Linked DNA regions of Saccharomyces cerevisiae S288C. Changing the gene in region 1 together with any one later gene gives a genetic interaction. Each region holds a gene or a part of one and is shown in the gene's direction. Other genes may lie near its edges. The genes, in order: SAM2, HVG1, YLR012C and KGD1.

Region 1 (4,263 bases):
GTCTACTTTTTTTATGTTATTTTGTTTTATCGTTTCTGTTCGTTGTTTACCTATTTTCCTGCCAATTCAATTTGGTACTATCTTTCTATTATCAATATTTTCTTTCCCTTATGTTTTTTTCTATATGAAAACTTCACAGGGAGAAATAGAAGAAAATGTTCATTATTCTGTTTAACTTTGATAAAAATTACTTATACGTCTCCCAATCATGGTTTCATGGTCACTGGTAAGGAAAAATTCGAAAAACTACGGGACTAAAAATTTTTTAAAGATTGTCCATATTCCTCGATCCACACTTTCAAGTTTGAGATTTATTGTTGGCAACTTTCTTACATTTTTGTTGTTTCAACTTCTATTTTATATTCTAACAGCCGCTTCCATTTATTTTTCATAGGCTTTATATAAAAAACAAAAAATAATGGAATCAACCAACCCTTATAAACTTATATGTAGTTTACATTTAATCAAGGTCTGTTATCGTGGCTATTGCTCTAATTCATTATTTGTCGACATGTATTGGTTGATAATTTTTGTTTTGGTTCACGCGTAAGAATTTTTTTTCTTGTAGTTGCCACGTGAAACCTGACAACTTATAGTCTTTAAGGGAAGAAAGAAAGCCATTCTTTGAAGTGATTTTACTGCTTTCAAGAGTGAGAAACTCCTACATCAACGCCTAAGGAAACTCGTCATATTCTACCAAGGATGATCTCTGTCATGGCGGATGAGAAACATAAGGAGTATTTTAAGCTATACTACTTTCAGTACATGATAATTGGTCTATGTACGATATTATTCCTCTATTCGGAGATATCCCTGGTACCTAGGGGCCAAAACATCGAATTTAGTCTTGATGACCCCAGTATATCAAAACGTTATGTACCTAACGAACTCGTGGGCCCACTAGAATGTTTGATTTTGAGTGTTGGACTGAGTAACATGGTCGTCTTCTGGACCTGCATGTTTGACAAGGACTTACTGAAGAAGAATAGAGTAAAGAGACTAAGAGAGAGGCCGGACGGAATCTCGAACGATTTTCACTTCATGCATACTAGCATTCTATGTCTGATGCTGATTATAAGCATAAATGCTGCCCTAACAGGCGCCTTAAAGTTGATTATAGGAAACTTGAGGCCTGACTTTGTTGATAGATGTATACCTGACCTCCAAAAGATGAGTGATTCAGATTCTTTGGTTTTTGGCTTGGACATTTGCAAGCAGACTAACAAATGGATTCTATACGAAGGCTTAAAAAGCACTCCAAGCGGACATTCAAGTTTCATAGTCAGTACCATGGGCTTTACATATCTTTGGCAAAGGGTTTTCACCACACGCAATACAAGAAGTTGCATTTGGTGCCCTTTATTAGCTCTAGTAGTAATGGTTTCAAGGGTTATCGATCACAGACATCATTGGTACGATGTTGTCTCTGGAGCTGTTCTAGCATTTTTAGTCATTTATTGTTGCTGGAAATGGACATTTACAAACTTGGCGAAAAGAGACATACTTCCTTCACCGGTTAGTGTTTAGTAACACTTACAGAGTCCTATCAGGAAAGAATAAAAGCCGATCAAGCTTCATTCTCAGGTAACAACTGGAGCACTGGCGAGCTTTGCTCTATTATATAAGATAAAATATGCACTAAAAGTTTGCATTTCTTTACATAACTAAAACTAAGACATTATGCATAGCTTACCTGATCAAAAAGTATGTAAACTTGTTAACATCTTCACATGTGATTCATCTGGTCGTACTTTCTTGCGGTGCAGTGTAATATTTCTACCCACGTGACTATAATTGAGCTTGAAAACTGTGGCGTTTTTCCACCGATGGGTCCACGCCAGATATTAACCGAAGCCAAAATACCGATGAAATTTCTGAGATAGCTCTTGTAAACGACGTCAAATCTTCATATGCAAGGAGATCTTGATTTCTTTTTGGTAGTCATCTGTCGTCTTGAGGCGTATAAGAAGGAGGTTATATCTGTCCTTTCTACAAAGTATTTTCGAGAATCTTGCTTCTGCCCCTTTTTTCTTTTTTTAAAAGGTTTAAAAAACATAACTGTCTTCAATATATCCAGTATTTACGACAATATACAAACATAATCATGTCCAAGAGCAAAACTTTCTTATTTACCTCTGAATCCGTCGGTGAAGGTCACCCAGACAAGATTTGTGACCAAGTTTCTGATGCTATTTTGGACGCTTGTTTAGAACAAGATCCATTCTCCAAGGTTGCCTGTGAAACAGCTGCCAAAACTGGTATGATTATGGTTTTCGGTGAAATTACCACCAAAGCTAGACTTGACTACCAACAAATAGTAAGAGATACCATCAAGAAGATTGGTTATGACGATTCTGCCAAGGGTTTCGACTACAAGACATGTAATGTTTTAGTAGCTATCGAACAACAATCTCCAGATATCGCTCAAGGTCTGCACTATGAAAAGAGCTTAGAAGACTTAGGTGCTGGTGACCAAGGTATAATGTTTGGTTACGCTACAGACGAAACTCCAGAAGGGTTACCATTGACCATTCTTTTGGCTCACAAATTGAACATGGCTATGGCAGATGCTAGAAGAGATGGTTCTCTCCCATGGTTGAGACCAGACACAAAGACTCAAGTCACTGTCGAATACGAAGACGACAATGGTAGATGGGTTCCAAAGAGGATAGATACCGTTGTTATTTCTGCTCAACATGCTGATGAAATTTCCACCGCTGACTTGAGAACTCAACTTCAAAAAGATATTGTTGAAAAGGTCATACCAAAGGATATGTTAGACGAAAATACCAAATATTTCATCCAACCATCCGGTAGATTCGTCATCGGTGGTCCTCAAGGTGACGCTGGTTTGACCGGTAGAAAGATTATTGTCGACGCTTACGGTGGTGCCTCATCCGTCGGTGGTGGTGCCTTCTCCGGTAAGGACTATTCCAAGGTCGATCGTTCCGCTGCTTACGCTGCTAGATGGGTTGCCAAGTCTCTAGTTGCCGCTGGTTTGTGTAAGAGAGTCCAAGTCCAATTTTCATATGCTATTGGTATTGCTGAACCATTGTCTTTACATGTGGACACCTATGGTACAGCTACAAAATCAGATGACGAAATCATTGAAATTATTAAGAAGAACTTCGACTTGAGACCAGGTGTGTTAGTAAAGGAATTAGATTTGGCTAGACCAATTTACTTACCAACCGCTTCTTATGGTCACTTCACTAATCAAGAGTACTCATGGGAAAAACCAAAGAAATTGGAATTTTAAACATTTAGACAATAAATGTTTTATTTTGATTTTTATAATTATTTCAATCCCTTTCTTTATGCTAGGCTGGTCCCGATCACCTCCCTATATTGAGAAGACGATGCCTTATCGTTTGATTCGCTCAACTCGAGTCATGTAATTACTAGAAAATGATACAATAGAAAAGTTTTAAACATTCTTAAACTTGACAAACACCAATAGAATAACATCTAGGCATAATGATCTATTTTGTATGGATTATGTATTAGCTCCTTCAACGGAAATATATAGAAAATATTACTTTATGTTTTTAGAACTTTTTGACGAGTTTTACCAGTTTTTTTCATGATGCTCCACGTGGTAATATGACTATGCTATGGAAATAAGGTTGAAATATAGAATGTCTTTGAGGTTATTTGGTCGGCCTCTTCCAGAAATACTGTTTATGTTTCTTCCTGCACGACCTTAATCGGCTCCTGCCTTTTAACGAATTATACAAAATCTTTCTCTCGTCGCTATCATCGTTTTCAACATCATAGTAATACTCGTCTTCTAATGGCTTGCCAGACGCATCTTTTCCTTCACGCACAATAATACCAATGCAAGAAATAGTCTCCAAGACCTTTTTTAGTTCATCTTTGCTTAATTGTGAAGTGTTGGAATTGATGTTTTGCAATTGGGATAAAGGCGTTTGTTGAAGGTTAGAAAATGCAAGATGATTACATAGCACATGAACTAGGTCATCAAACCGAATTCCTCTTTCTGAGAGCGACCGAGAAATTTCGGGAATAATATTCAATGAAGTCTTAAGACGTTTTTGTGCAGGAGATACAATCGCGGTTGTAGAAGACAGCTCTTTAGTTTTTTTTGCAACTGCTGCGAAAGATTCTTCTTCATTAATGCCACCACTCCTAGTACTGGCACTTAATGTCCCAATTATTTTATCTTTAGGAAGTGGTGTCTCTTGTATAGTGTTATTTTTCAATGAAATTGATTTACGCTTCAGTTTCTTTGGAGTTGATGGC
Region 2 (3,919 bases), on another chromosome or scaffold:
CATATTTTATAGGTGAAGTAGAGTCACTTGATAATCTATTGTTAAATTTGTGATTTGAGATAAACGAATTCGACTCCGAGTTCTGCAATTGTTGTGATAACAATGAGGTATGTGATTTTCTTGAAGAAGGTCTTGAGACACTCGGTGAATCTACAGGAGTATTAAAAATATCAAAATTTGGCTTTTGAGAGACAAAATTTGATGATCTTGAATTTGTTGAAACGCTATTGCTTGAATTCCAATTCTGTCTATTCGAATTCGTGTTTGTGTTGGAATTCACGTCCACTTGTTGCTGTTCGTGCAGTTGTTGCAAAGACGCAGCCATAAACGATGAGGAGTACGATGCATTGCGCGACATCTTTCTTCTTGGTATATTCATTCCTTGACGTTGGAAAGAATTTGATAATAGATTCTGCTGTAGAGGACTATTTGAGTTAAAGTTTGCGGACGATATAATTCTTGGTGAGGATGCGACACTATTTCCTGCACTTACATTATTTGTTGTGTTCATTAGGTTCATGTTCATGTTGAACTGCTGTGAATTAGCGCTATTAGGTGAAGGTTTTGGTAATATCGGAACAACAGATCTGGATGAAGATTTACTGGAACTTGAGGTGTTCGATGAAGTACTACTTCGTCTTGAAGACCTTCTAAAATTAGGAGTAACAGTGTTCGAATTGTGACGCATTAAGTTATTAGAATTCAAATTTGCATTGCTTGCTCCATTAAAATTTGCGTTACTACTATTATACGATTGGCTGTTCATGAGGACCGGGGAGGGGACTGAGTTGAAGTTATAGCCTCCCCTATTTACATTAAGGATATTATTAGTATTACCGATGTTGTCTCTAATGATTTCTTCAGGTATCACTCTAGATAAAGAGTTTTGTTGTAGTGATTTTTTCCTCGATCGTATGGGTTTAGCATTTGTAGTGGTTACTGAAGTTGAGGCAGTTGCAGGTGCACTTGGAGTATTTTGTGCAATGTTTGGGTCCGTTTGTTTGGCTCTCTTCTTTGAAATCCTCTTTTTGATAACGTCCGATTTTAAGGATAATGGCCTCATGGTACCATGTAATTTCTGGAAAAGACCGCAGGCATTGCAAAGAGTATTCCCCTCTGGGCTTCTCCTCCAAAGCGGTGTCTTGAAAGTTTTACAATTGAAACATTGTATCAGAGGTTTTTTATTTTGTCCTGATGGTTCCATATTGGATATACTGGAAGATACTGAGGCAGCTCTTTTGAAATTGGCCAGGGACGTGGACGACATTGGCTTGATAAGTGAGTTTTTTCTTACAGAATTTGTTGTGTTGGATGAAGATAATCCTATCGAATCGCTCTTCTTCAGAAAAGGATGCTGGATATTACTATTGTTGCTATTATTATTATTGGTAATGTTCATAGCGGATGAAGATGAGTTGTTGTTTTGTAGTTTGTAGATGTTGAAGGAATGGTGGGACTGCGCATTAGTATTTGAGTTGTTATTGATAGATGGCTGGTTGATGTTGCTGTTGGACGTGCTGGAATTATACGGGAACAGTGAGGATTTGGAGACGCTGTTGCCGAGGGAACCGTGGTTGTATTGCGGTATGTCGGAAGTAAAGCTGTTAGGAGCACTAATAGTAGCTGAACCGCTCGAGTTGCTGGGCGTCATGTTGAATTGGTCCACGTTAAAGTCCCAAAGTTGTGCAATTTCACCATTTTGTTGGTTGGATGCGGCTATGTCGATGGGCTGAGTTGTGGCAAGTGAATCAAACATCGCAATATCATCATCCATATGATTGGTAGCTGGTGTGGTGTCCTTGACCGTCTTAGTAGTCACGCTGGTCGTGGCAGCTGCTGTAAAAGGAGACACGAAGTCCGTAAAATATAAATCATCGGGCAGTGCCTCCAGCATTGAGTCGAATGTGCCGCCGTTTAATCCACTGGCAAATGCTATATCCTCCTCGTTTTCACCGGTGTTGCCACTACTCTGGCTCCTACTGTCACCAGTTTGTCTCGGCTCTTCATTACTTCGACCATGCACGTCCAGATGACTATTCAGCAGGTCGTACAGCTTCGAATTTTCGGGGTCGTCTTGCATTTGTTTGTTGGTGGGGGAAAAGGGGGCCCTGTGCTCTCTCTCGTCTCTCTTTCTTACACACTCTGTTATTGTGGGATGGGCTACTGCGCTGACATTAGCTTACCACTCTTGAACATCTTTCTCTGTCTTGCAAGATGACTCTTTCCACTCTCTCAGCATTGCCATGTCACTTTCTTTCGGGAACCTGTCCGCCGGGTAATAGAGCAAAAAATGTGAATATATCATATTAAGAATGTTTAAAGGGCCAGGTAGAGATAGAGTACAAGAATGGAAGGTTGAAAAGCTGTAAAGAGATCAAGAAGGTGTGGTAATTATGAGCAAGCATAAGCATGAATGGACGGAATCAGTGGCCAACTCTGGGCCGGCTTCAATCTTATCTTACTGCGCGTCCTCGATTTTGATGACAGTAACGAACAAATTCGTGGTTAACCTGGACAACTTTAACATGAACTTTGTGATGTTGTTTGTACAATCACTGGTGTGCACTGTGACGCTATGTATCCTACGAATTGTAGGCGTTGCTAATTTTTGATCTTTGAACAGGACAGATGTAAAAAACTGGTTTCCAATTTCTTTGCTGCTCGTATTGATGATTTATACGTCGTCAAAGAGCTTACAATACCTTGCCGTGCCCATCTACACAATTTTCAAGAATCTGACGATCATTCTCATTGCTTATGGCGAGGTCCTCTTCTTTGGCGGAAAAGTCACTTCTATGGAGTTGACGTCATTTATTATGATGGTCCTTTCATCTGTAGTGGCCACCTGGGGCGATCAGCAGGCCATTGCAATCAAAGCATCATCTTTGGAGGATCTCGATCAGGAACTTGTTGAGTCAACCATCTTTGTGTTGAATCCGGGGTACCTCTGGATGTTCACCAATTGTATTTCGTCTGCATTGTTCGTTTTGATTATGCGGAAGAGAATTCGGCTGACTAACTTTAAAGACTATGATACTATGTTTTATAACAACGTTCTGGCATTGCCTTTGCTGCTAGTCTTTTCCTTCATTATGGAAGATTGGTCCACAAAGAATTTGTCTGTGAACTTGTCCGCCGACTCACTGGCAGCAATGGTCATCAGTGGGCTCATGTCCGTGGGGATATCGTACTGTTCCGGCTGGTGTGTTCGTGTAACTTCCTCTACAACGTATTCTATGGTTGGTGCTTTGAACAAATTGCCCATAGCGTTGGCGGGATTGGTGTTCTTTGACGCTCCAAAAAACTTTTTGTCCTTCTTTTCTATCTTTCTAGGATTTCTGTCTGGCCTGCTGTACGCTGTGGCTAAACAGAAAAAGATACAACAGCAAAAAGTTCTAGCAGCTACTCTTGAGAAGTAGTACATTCTTCATTTGCTCAAGCAAAATATACATTTATATTCATTTATATGGGGTCTTCTTTGTATTTGTTTTAGGTTATTCCTTTTTTTATGTTACATATTATGTCAGCATCGTTTTATGAAATATATTCATATATAATTTTTCAAGTAAATAGCAATAAAGTGATAAAATTTTGTTAGACGCACAAAAGGGCAGTGTCACAAATGGGAAGCGTGAACTCATCACCGAATGAAGAGTTTGAAACTGTGCCAGATTCACAAATTTCAGGGTTTGATTCTCCTTTGATACCGACTAGTGTGGGAAGTTACTTTCGCGATGACGATGACGATGAGAAGGTGCATCCCAACTTTATTAGTGATCCTGAGAACGACAGTTTGAATAGCGACGAAGAGTTTTCTAGCCTAGAGAACAGCGATTTGAATCTTTCTGGTGCCAAGGCGGAGTCTGGAGACGATTTTGATCCAATCTTAAAAAGAACCATCATTTCCAAAAGAAAGGCA
Region 3 (3,290 bases), on another chromosome or scaffold:
CAATGTTTCCCAGTTTAATACTTTAGATGTAAGCGAAGGTAATCAAGTGATAAATGAAAGTGCTTCTACAAATACGTCTTCTGCATTGAATTGCCAGTCGTATACCAATAATCAAGATATCATGGATATCCTTTTCCAGGTTACTTCGGGATCTGTATGGGATGAGTTTTTTGTCAGGTCTGGTAACGGAAACGAAGGCGAGTCTTCTTACGATATCAGTAAAGGAAAGAACTCTGAATCCGGTGGAATATTTTAGCGATAGCTCGAAGAATCATGATCAATGGATTGAAAGTAGGGCCACCAATGCTCTTTTCAATCTATTTTTTGAAAACATGAGAGTCCTAAAAGAGCTAACTTAAATGACCGGGGCAGATTAATTGAAAAGTTTGAGGTTTTTGTGATAATCTTCAAAGTTGAACGCATGTATAAAATGATAGAAGCAACAGTCCATTGAGAAGTATGCCACTATAGTCATATATATATATATATATATATATATATATATTTACGTATTAATTGATAAACTATAATACCAACGGCACTTGATACTTGAATTCATCTTACATTTCCAGTGATGATTTTTTTTTCTGGGACTACGCTGATAAAGAAAAATTGCAAGAACTGAGAAACCACTTGTTTTGTATGGCACTTTGACTTTCGAATAACACATAATGTTCGTTATCAACTGTTTAAAGTCGATAAATGTATAATCACTGCTTTGACATAAGTATATAACATTCCGAGCAGAAATAAATTCTCTTAACGCGTTCTTGTAACTCCATAGAGGCTCTTTGGAACTTTTCGTTTGACGCTCACACCTTTTATTTCGTTAAAGTACCGTTTTGCCAGATCCTTGCCAAAAACCAAAAATATTTTTCTATAAAATAATCCACAGGCATTACACAATGTCACCTCTCCATCAGGACCCTCTCTCCATTGCGGAGAAGTTTTTATCACCGCACACTGTGGACATCTCCTGGTGACGCCTTTCCTCTTTTGGACATTGTGCTGAACAACAGCAGTATTATTCGTTGTGACATACAAAGATGCACTAATGGGTTTAGCAGTATTGATTTTTGTTTGAGAGTGAGGTTTTTCGCAGTCTATTGTCTCCTCTACCGGATTCAATAACGATTCAACGGAGATTCTTTTATATTCTGGATGACACAAAGTCTTAATGTTCATAGCAAATTCTTCCTTCTGGCTTTATATTTGCTTCTAGTTGATAATTGTTTACATTTAATGAAATTGTTTCAAATCAAGAAAAGGTAAGATAAGCTCCCTCAAAGAACCTCTCGTCTTATAATATACTCTTCAAACAGAGCAACAAATATTAATTAACATGCTCGACCATTTGTTCTTTTCCATCAAATTGGACCCTAGACCCTTAAAAACATAGATATGACTGAAGAGGAGGTTTTTGACCTCTAGCCTATTATTCCATTTTACAGAGAAGCCTACTTATTTTCTGTGGCAGGCGGCTAAGCAGGTAATGTTGTCCGCATTTTATCAGAAATACTTGCCAAGAAAAAAAAGGGATTTTCATATAAGGGGATTTTCTACAGGTGTTTGTGTGAGTATGTATTGCACCAAATAAGTACTGTGTTAAAGGTTTTGTTGATGCGTTTTCATCGGGGTTAATAGCGTCTAATCCTTCAAGGGAGCTGTAAGTGATACTTTCATTATGCAAACTAAAGAAAGCTGAAGTCCTGGTACGCCACCTGGCACTTCATCTGGCTTCTTTTATTTTTTTATACACAGAAAATAACTTACTTACACTTTTTTTGGAAATAAAACCATTGTCTCGGGGAACATATACATATATATATATATATATATATGTATATAATACCAACTGCAATAAAAGAAAAGAGTCATATTATAAGTATAATTTTGAATGTTCTGTGCATTTTTCACTGTCGAATAGCTTGCTTGTCATGCCAAATAATGGGTTAAATCGCTGTGTGCTGACAATGTATCAAATAATACTTCCCCTAATTGAATGTGTGGCGCTATCCGTATATCCGGACCCTTTTTCAGGGCCGGTCTTGGCATGAAAAAATGTCAGAAGCATGAGTAGAATTAAGTCGAGAACAAACTAATATGAAGGGGATGTTTAATGTAAAAACGTATAAAAAGGCCATGTTCGAGGTGGATAATAGAACAACATTCTATGAAGACGGCAGCTTCAAGACAGAAAATATTCATAGAGATTAAGAGAAAAAGTCTCGAACATATTCAAATGAAGACTGTCTATTACAAAGAAATCACCTACCAGCAGTATCTTCAACTGCAACCTGAACAACAGGAAAAATACCTGGCTTTATGTCAAAAAGATTTTGAACAAGAGACTGAAAGAATTGCATTTGATCGTCAAGGAGGTGTGCCTGGTATTGCTAGGAAATTTGCACAAGAAGAAGTTGCTTGGTTCGATCGCGTTACAACATGGTCATATATGAATGCTTATATTCCGAGCTACAGAAGAAGAAGAAACCTTTTAAAGATTGATATGTTAAAGATGTCTAATGCTGAAGAATACTGAGAATAATTTCGAGCGCCGATCCAAATATTAGGTTTGCTTTATCTTTTTTTATGAAATAAGTTCATGAAATATGAATACTATACCACTACGCATATATATATTTTAAGAAAATTTTCGAATGAAACTTGATGAAATTAGTCCATTAAAAGTGTATGGGTAATCGAAGAGCCCAAACTACCGTTAGTATAATACTTTGTACTTTGTACTCAATACTTAATACTAATTAAAGTCTGGATTACAGTGTCCTATGATAATTGTGTTAGCTTTTCATCTTTTATTGCGACTACAGTTAAATTTTATGGTTTATTTATTCCTCGTTGTTTCGATGCACGATGCGAGTAATTGCAGGATCTCTTCATTGTGCACGCTGAGTTGTGGTACAATGTCCTCGGGTAACGGTATCGTACCTACCGGTATTTTCACCGCCACTCCACCTATAACATTCATCTTCAAACCATGTAGTACCTCTTGAAGTTGGTCATTACACTTACTACCGCCATGACCGCCGTAGCTTACCACCAGGGCAGGTTTTCCGTGCCATTCATGGTAAAGACGATCAATTGCATTTTTTAAGGCTGCTGGATACCCCCAATTATATTGAGGTGTAACGAATACAATAATATCTAATGCATTTACGATGCGACTCCACGATCGAGTTTTGCTGTCTGCATACTCATCCACGCTCTTTATTTGCGCAGGGATCAGTTCGTCATCATCTTCATATAAGGGAAGAGCAATCTGTTGTAAA
Region 4 (6,249 bases), on another chromosome or scaffold:
GGTTTGAACAATAAGATTATGCAATTAAGAAAAATCTGCAACCATCCATTCGTATTTGATGAAGTGGAAGGTGTTGTAAACCCCTCAAGAGGTAATAGTGATTTACTTTTCAGAGTAGCGGGCAAGTTTGAATTACTGGATAGAGTGCTACCGAAATTCAAAGCCTCAGGCCACAGAGTGCTAATGTTTTTCCAAATGACTCAAGTTATGGATATTATGGAAGACTTCCTAAGAATGAAAGATTTGAAGTATATGAGATTAGATGGTAGCACTAAGACTGAAGAAAGAACAGAAATGCTGAATGCATTTAATGCTCCAGATTCAGATTATTTCTGTTTCCTTTTGTCAACTAGAGCCGGTGGTTTGGGTTTGAATTTACAAACTGCAGATACGGTGATCATCTTTGATACAGATTGGAATCCACACCAAGATTTACAGGCCCAAGATAGAGCTCACAGAATTGGACAAAAGAATGAGGTTAGAATTTTAAGATTAATTACCACTGATTCCGTAGAGGAAGTTATTTTGGAAAGAGCTATGCAGAAATTGGACATTGACGGCAAGGTTATCCAGGCAGGTAAGTTTGATAACAAATCAACTGCAGAAGAGCAAGAAGCTTTTTTGAGAAGATTGATCGAAAGTGAAACGAACAGGGATGATGATGACAAAGCAGAATTAGATGACGATGAGTTAAACGATACTTTGGCCAGAAGCGCTGATGAAAAAATACTATTTGATAAAATTGATAAGGAGAGAATGAACCAAGAAAGAGCAGATGCTAAAGCGCAAGGCCTGAGAGTCCCTCCTCCTAGATTGATTCAATTAGACGAGCTACCCAAAGTATTCAGAGAAGACATTGAAGAACATTTCAAGAAAGAGGATTCTGAACCATTGGGAAGGATTAGACAAAAGAAAAGAGTTTACTATGATGACGGTCTAACTGAAGAACAATTTTTGGAGGCTGTAGAAGATGATAATATGTCTTTAGAAGATGCCATTAAAAAAAGACGTGAAGCACGTGAAAGAAGGAGATTACGTCAAAATGGTACAAAAGAGAATGAAATAGAAACCCTGGAAAACACGCCTGAAGCATCCGAAACTTCATTGATTGAGAACAATAGCTTCACTGCAGCTGTGGATGAGGAAACTAATGCTGATAAAGAGACTACAGCTTCCAGGTCAAAACGCCGGAGTAGTAGAAAGAAAAGGACCATTAGCATTGTTACGGCAGAAGACAAAGAGAATACTCAAGAAGAGAGTACATCTCAAGAAAACGGGGGCGCTAAGGTGGAAGAGGAAGTAAAAAGTAGCTCCGTTGAAATTATAAATGGTTCAGAATCCAAGAAAAAGAAACCGAAACTGACCGTCAAGATCAAACTAAACAAAACAACTGTGTTGGAGAATAATGATGGTAAGCGAGCAGAAGAAAAGCCAGAGAGTAAATCGCCCGCGAAGAAGACTGCAGCCAAAAAAACTAAAACTAAATCCAAGTCGCTTGGGATTTTTCCCACGGTGGAAAAATTGGTGGAAGAAATGCGCGAACAGTTAGATGAGGTAGACTCCCATCCAAGGACGTCCATTTTTGAAAAGCTTCCTTCGAAACGCGACTATCCGGACTATTTTAAAGTAATTGAAAAACCCATGGCCATTGATATTATATTGAAAAACTGCAAGAATGGCACTTACAAAACTTTGGAGGAGGTAAGGCAAGCCTTACAAACGATGTTTGAAAATGCTAGATTCTATAATGAAGAGGGATCCTGGGTTTACGTTGATGCTGACAAGTTAAATGAGTTTACTGATGAATGGTTCAAGGAACACTCTTCGTAACGTTTTCATCACCACATGTTTTTTTTTTTTACGACTATATCCCTTTCCCCTCTAATACTCTTTCTAGCCTTTTTTTCTACCTCTACATATGTTTATAAAATATATACCACTGTAACAATAAGATCGACAGAGCGAATATAATTCTTTGAGTAACTAATATCCTTTGGCTTATTCTCTGGGCTTATTAGTGCCGCAAAATAATTACCCGGCGGCGATGGACCAGTTAGCTTCGACCGTTTGCGATTCCGGGGCTAAGGAAGGGGCCTCTGCAAATAAGAAAGAGGCATTACACATAAATGATTGGCAAAGGGACTGCGGGAGTCAAGACCTACATGTAAGTCCGATTTACGATAACGGTTTAGATTCATTGGGTGTGTACTATTTATACTTTAACAAACCCGTGTGTTATTTAATAAGATCATATCTTGTTTGTTTTTCGCCCTCAATTTTGTTTCTGTCACATAGTCGCAGCAGCTGAATATAGATAGGAAGAGAGAAGGAAGCGATTCTCGTTCAGCATCATACTTCTTCCTAATTTCCCCAAATTAAAGTTTCGTTTGAAAGAAACAACAAAAGAGAAAGAAAGCAGTTTTTAGAAAATACTAAATTTTACCGTTATGCTAAGGTTCGTGTCTTCGCAAACCTGCCGGTATAGTTCAAGAGGACTATTAAAAACATCTTTACTTAAAAATGCATCTACTGTCAAAATTGTCGGAAGAGGGTTAGCCACCACTGGTACAGATAATTTTCTATCGACATCAAATGCCACCTATATCGATGAAATGTACCAAGCTTGGCAAAAAGACCCATCTTCAGTCCATGTTTCATGGGACGCATATTTCAAGAATATGTCTAACCCAAAGATTCCAGCTACAAAGGCTTTTCAGGCTCCTCCCAGTATCAGTAACTTTCCCCAGGGTACCGAAGCAGCTCCCTTAGGGACCGCAATGACTGGTTCAGTAGATGAGAACGTCTCCATTCATCTAAAAGTGCAATTGCTATGTAGAGCTTACCAAGTTAGAGGTCATTTAAAAGCCCATATAGATCCTTTAGGGATCTCATTTGGTAGTAATAAAAATAACCCTGTTCCTCCGGAATTGACTCTAGACTACTACGGCTTTAGCAAACACGATCTTGATAAAGAAATCAACCTAGGACCTGGTATCCTGCCAAGGTTTGCAAGGGACGGGAAATCTAAAATGTCTCTGAAAGAGATTGTGGATCATCTAGAAAAGTTATATTGTTCCTCTTATGGGGTACAATACACACATATTCCATCTAAGCAAAAGTGTGATTGGTTAAGAGAGAGAATTGAGATTCCTGAACCTTACCAATATACAGTGGACCAAAAGAGACAAATCTTAGATAGATTAACATGGGCCACTTCTTTTGAGTCATTCTTATCTACAAAATTTCCAAATGATAAGAGGTTCGGTTTAGAAGGTTTGGAAAGTGTTGTTCCAGGTATTAAAACTTTGGTTGATCGTTCTGTTGAATTGGGTGTAGAAGATATTGTTTTGGGTATGGCTCACCGTGGTAGATTGAACGTTTTATCCAATGTGGTCCGTAAACCAAATGAATCTATTTTTTCTGAATTTAAGGGTTCGAGCGCTCGCGATGATATTGAAGGATCGGGTGATGTCAAGTACCATTTGGGTATGAACTACCAAAGACCAACTACGTCTGGTAAGTACGTCAATTTATCGCTGGTGGCAAATCCTTCTCATTTAGAATCCCAAGATCCAGTTGTTCTTGGTAGAACTAGAGCTTTATTGCATGCCAAGAACGATTTGAAGGAAAAAACAAAGGCCTTAGGTGTGTTATTACATGGTGATGCTGCTTTTGCTGGGCAGGGTGTTGTTTATGAAACCATGGGTTTCTTGACCCTACCAGAATACTCTACTGGTGGTACTATTCATGTTATTACAAACAACCAGATCGGATTCACTACGGATCCAAGATTTGCAAGGTCCACACCATATCCTTCCGATTTGGCTAAGGCCATTGATGCCCCAATTTTCCATGTTAACGCTAATGACGTGGAAGCTGTGACCTTTATTTTCAATTTAGCCGCAGAATGGAGACATAAGTTCCACACAGATGCCATAATTGATGTCGTTGGTTGGAGAAAACATGGACATAATGAAACCGATCAGCCATCGTTTACTCAACCATTAATGTACAAAAAAATTGCAAAACAAAAATCTGTCATTGACGTCTATACGGAAAAATTGATAAGTGAAGGCACATTTTCTAAAAAAGATATTGATGAGCACAAGAAATGGGTATGGAACTTATTTGAAGATGCTTTCGAAAAGGCAAAGGATTACGTCCCATCTCAAAGAGAATGGTTAACTGCTGCCTGGGAAGGATTCAAATCCCCAAAGGAATTGGCCACTGAGATATTACCACATGAACCAACTAATGTTCCAGAGAGTACTTTGAAAGAACTAGGTAAGGTACTCTCTTCGTGGCCAGAAGGTTTTGAAGTGCACAAAAATCTAAAGAGAATTTTGAAAAATAGAGGAAAATCTATTGAGACAGGTGAAGGCATCGATTGGGCCACCGGTGAAGCATTAGCGTTCGGTACATTGGTTTTGGATGGTCAGAACGTTAGGGTTTCCGGTGAAGATGTAGAAAGAGGTACATTTTCTCAACGTCATGCAGTCTTGCATGACCAACAATCTGAAGCCATTTACACACCGCTAAGCACTCTGAATAATGAAAAGGCAGACTTCACCATTGCAAATTCCTCGTTATCTGAGTACGGTGTAATGGGTTTCGAATATGGTTATTCGCTAACCTCCCCAGATTATCTAGTCATGTGGGAGGCTCAATTCGGTGACTTTGCAAATACAGCACAGGTTATTATTGACCAATTTATTGCCGGTGGTGAACAAAAATGGAAGCAACGCTCTGGTTTAGTTTTGTCTTTACCCCATGGTTATGATGGCCAGGGGCCAGAACATTCGTCTGGTAGATTGGAAAGATTCTTGCAACTAGCCAATGAAGACCCAAGATATTTCCCATCTGAAGAAAAGCTACAGAGACAACATCAGGATTGTAATTTCCAGGTTGTTTATCCAACTACGCCTGCTAATTTATTCCACATTCTAAGGAGACAGCAACATCGTCAATTCCGTAAACCATTGGCGTTATTCTTTTCTAAACAGCTGCTGCGTCACCCATTGGCCAGATCATCTCTTTCCGAATTCACTGAAGGCGGATTCCAATGGATTATCGAAGATATTGAACATGGAAAAAGTATTGGTACGAAAGAGGAAACCAAGAGATTAGTTTTGCTGAGTGGCCAAGTGTACACTGCCCTACATAAAAGACGTGAAAGTTTGGGTGATAAGACCACTGCTTTCTTAAAGATTGAACAGCTGCACCCATTCCCATTTGCTCAGCTACGTGATTCATTAAATTCTTATCCAAACTTGGAAGAAATTGTTTGGTGCCAGGAAGAGCCATTGAACATGGGTTCGTGGGCATACACAGAACCACGCTTACACACAACATTAAAAGAAACGGATAAATATAAGGATTTCAAGGTCAGATACTGTGGTAGAAACCCAAGTGGTGCTGTTGCTGCCGGTAGCAAATCACTACATTTGGCCGAAGAAGATGCCTTTTTGAAAGATGTTTTCCAACAATCCTAAAGATGAATTCAAATATGAAAAACATGAAAATACAGCCATATAAACACGTAATATTTTTACCTTAATGTTTATGGACAGCCTTTTTACTTGAAGAATGATCTAACAAATATTTTTTTTGATACATTCACATTTTTTTTTTGTTCATGATGTTAGCATCTGCTTAGTCTTTTTAAAATTATTTAATTTAACGTTTTATTTATGTGAACCTTTTTTTATTAGTTGTATTTACTATTTATTCAAGAATCATTCTTTACTTTATATTGATATCGTTTTTTTCCCCCTACTTCCTCCTCTGGTGTATTCACAGCTAGGTGCTTCTCTTGTCCTCATCCGGTGGAGAAAAAAAGTGAAAAATAAGTCAATGGAAAGGGGGAAGGGGGTAGGTAAATAGAGTGAATAAGTTTTATTCATCATGCCCAACTTCTATTAATATATACTCAATTCAAATATTGATCAGGATTTCAAAGAGTATGTCGGAGTTACAGTCACAACCTAAAAAGATTGCCGTTGTTACAGGCGCCTCAGGTGGTATTGGATATGAGGTAACGAAGGAATTAGCCAGAAATGGCTATTTGGTTTATGCATGTGCAAGAAGACTAGAACCAATGGCACAATTGGCCATCCAATTTGGTAACGATAGTATCAAACCATATAAGTTGGATATTTCCAAGCCAGAAGAAATTGTAACATTTTCTGGTTTTTTGCGAGCTAATTTACCTGATGGTAAATTAGATTTATTGTACAACAATGCCGGTCA

What was found.
Region 2: mutations in SAM2 (region 1) and HVG1 together harm fitness more than expected from each alone (negative genetic interaction), as found in Saccharomyces cerevisiae (one large-scale study listed by BioGRID).
Region 3: mutations in SAM2 (region 1) and YLR012C together harm fitness more than expected from each alone (negative genetic interaction), as found in Saccharomyces cerevisiae (one large-scale study listed by BioGRID).
Region 4: mutations in SAM2 (region 1) and KGD1 together harm fitness more than expected from each alone (negative genetic interaction), as found in Saccharomyces cerevisiae (one large-scale study listed by BioGRID).

What each region holds. Positions count from the first base shown.
Region 1 is NC_001136.10:1,452,306-1,456,568, reverse strand, and holds SAM2 (methionine adenosyltransferase SAM2), read left to right. Parts: upstream 1-2,104; coding exon 2,105-3,259; downstream 3,260-4,263. Other genes in the region: SPG3 (Spg3p), read left to right, coding at 1-258; phosphatidate phosphatase LPP1, read left to right, coding at 703-1,527; PLM2 (Plm2p), read right to left, coding at 3,651-4,263. UniProt on the Saccharomyces cerevisiae protein: Catalyzes the formation of S-adenosylmethionine from methionine and ATP. The reaction comprises two steps that are both catalyzed by the same enzyme: formation of S-adenosylmethionine (AdoMet) and triphosphate, and subsequent hydrolysis of the triphosphate.
Region 2 is NC_001137.3:227,956-231,874, reverse strand, and holds HVG1 (putative GDP-mannose transporter), read left to right. Parts: upstream 1-2,669; coding exon 2,670-3,419; downstream 3,420-3,919. Other genes in the region: nitrogen-responsive transcriptional regulator GLN3, read right to left, coding at 1-2,080; YER039C-A (uncharacterized protein), read left to right, coding at 2,394-2,612; FMP49 (Fmp49p), read right to left, coding at 3,044-3,424; Smc5-Smc6 complex subunit KRE29, read left to right, coding at 3,623-3,919. UniProt on the Saccharomyces cerevisiae protein: Involved in the import of GDP-mannose from the cytoplasm into the Golgi lumen.
Region 3 is NC_001144.5:169,234-172,523, reverse strand, and holds YLR012C (uncharacterized protein), read left to right. Parts: upstream 1-2,242; coding exon 2,243-2,542; downstream 2,543-3,290. Other genes in the region: PPR1 (Ppr1p), read left to right, coding at 1-256; GAT3 (Gat3p), read right to left, coding at 760-1,185; LOT6 (flavin-dependent quinone reductase), read right to left, coding at 2,846-3,290.
Region 4 is NC_001141.2:120,242-126,490, forward strand, and holds KGD1 (alpha-ketoglutarate dehydrogenase KGD1), read left to right. Parts: upstream 1-2,447; coding exon 2,448-5,492; downstream 5,493-6,249. Other genes in the region: RSC chromatin remodeling complex ATPase subunit STH1, read left to right, coding at 1-1,830; AYR1 (acylglycerone-phosphate reductase), read left to right, coding at 5,963-6,249. UniProt on the Saccharomyces cerevisiae protein: The 2-oxoglutarate dehydrogenase complex catalyzes the overall conversion of 2-oxoglutarate to succinyl-CoA and CO(2).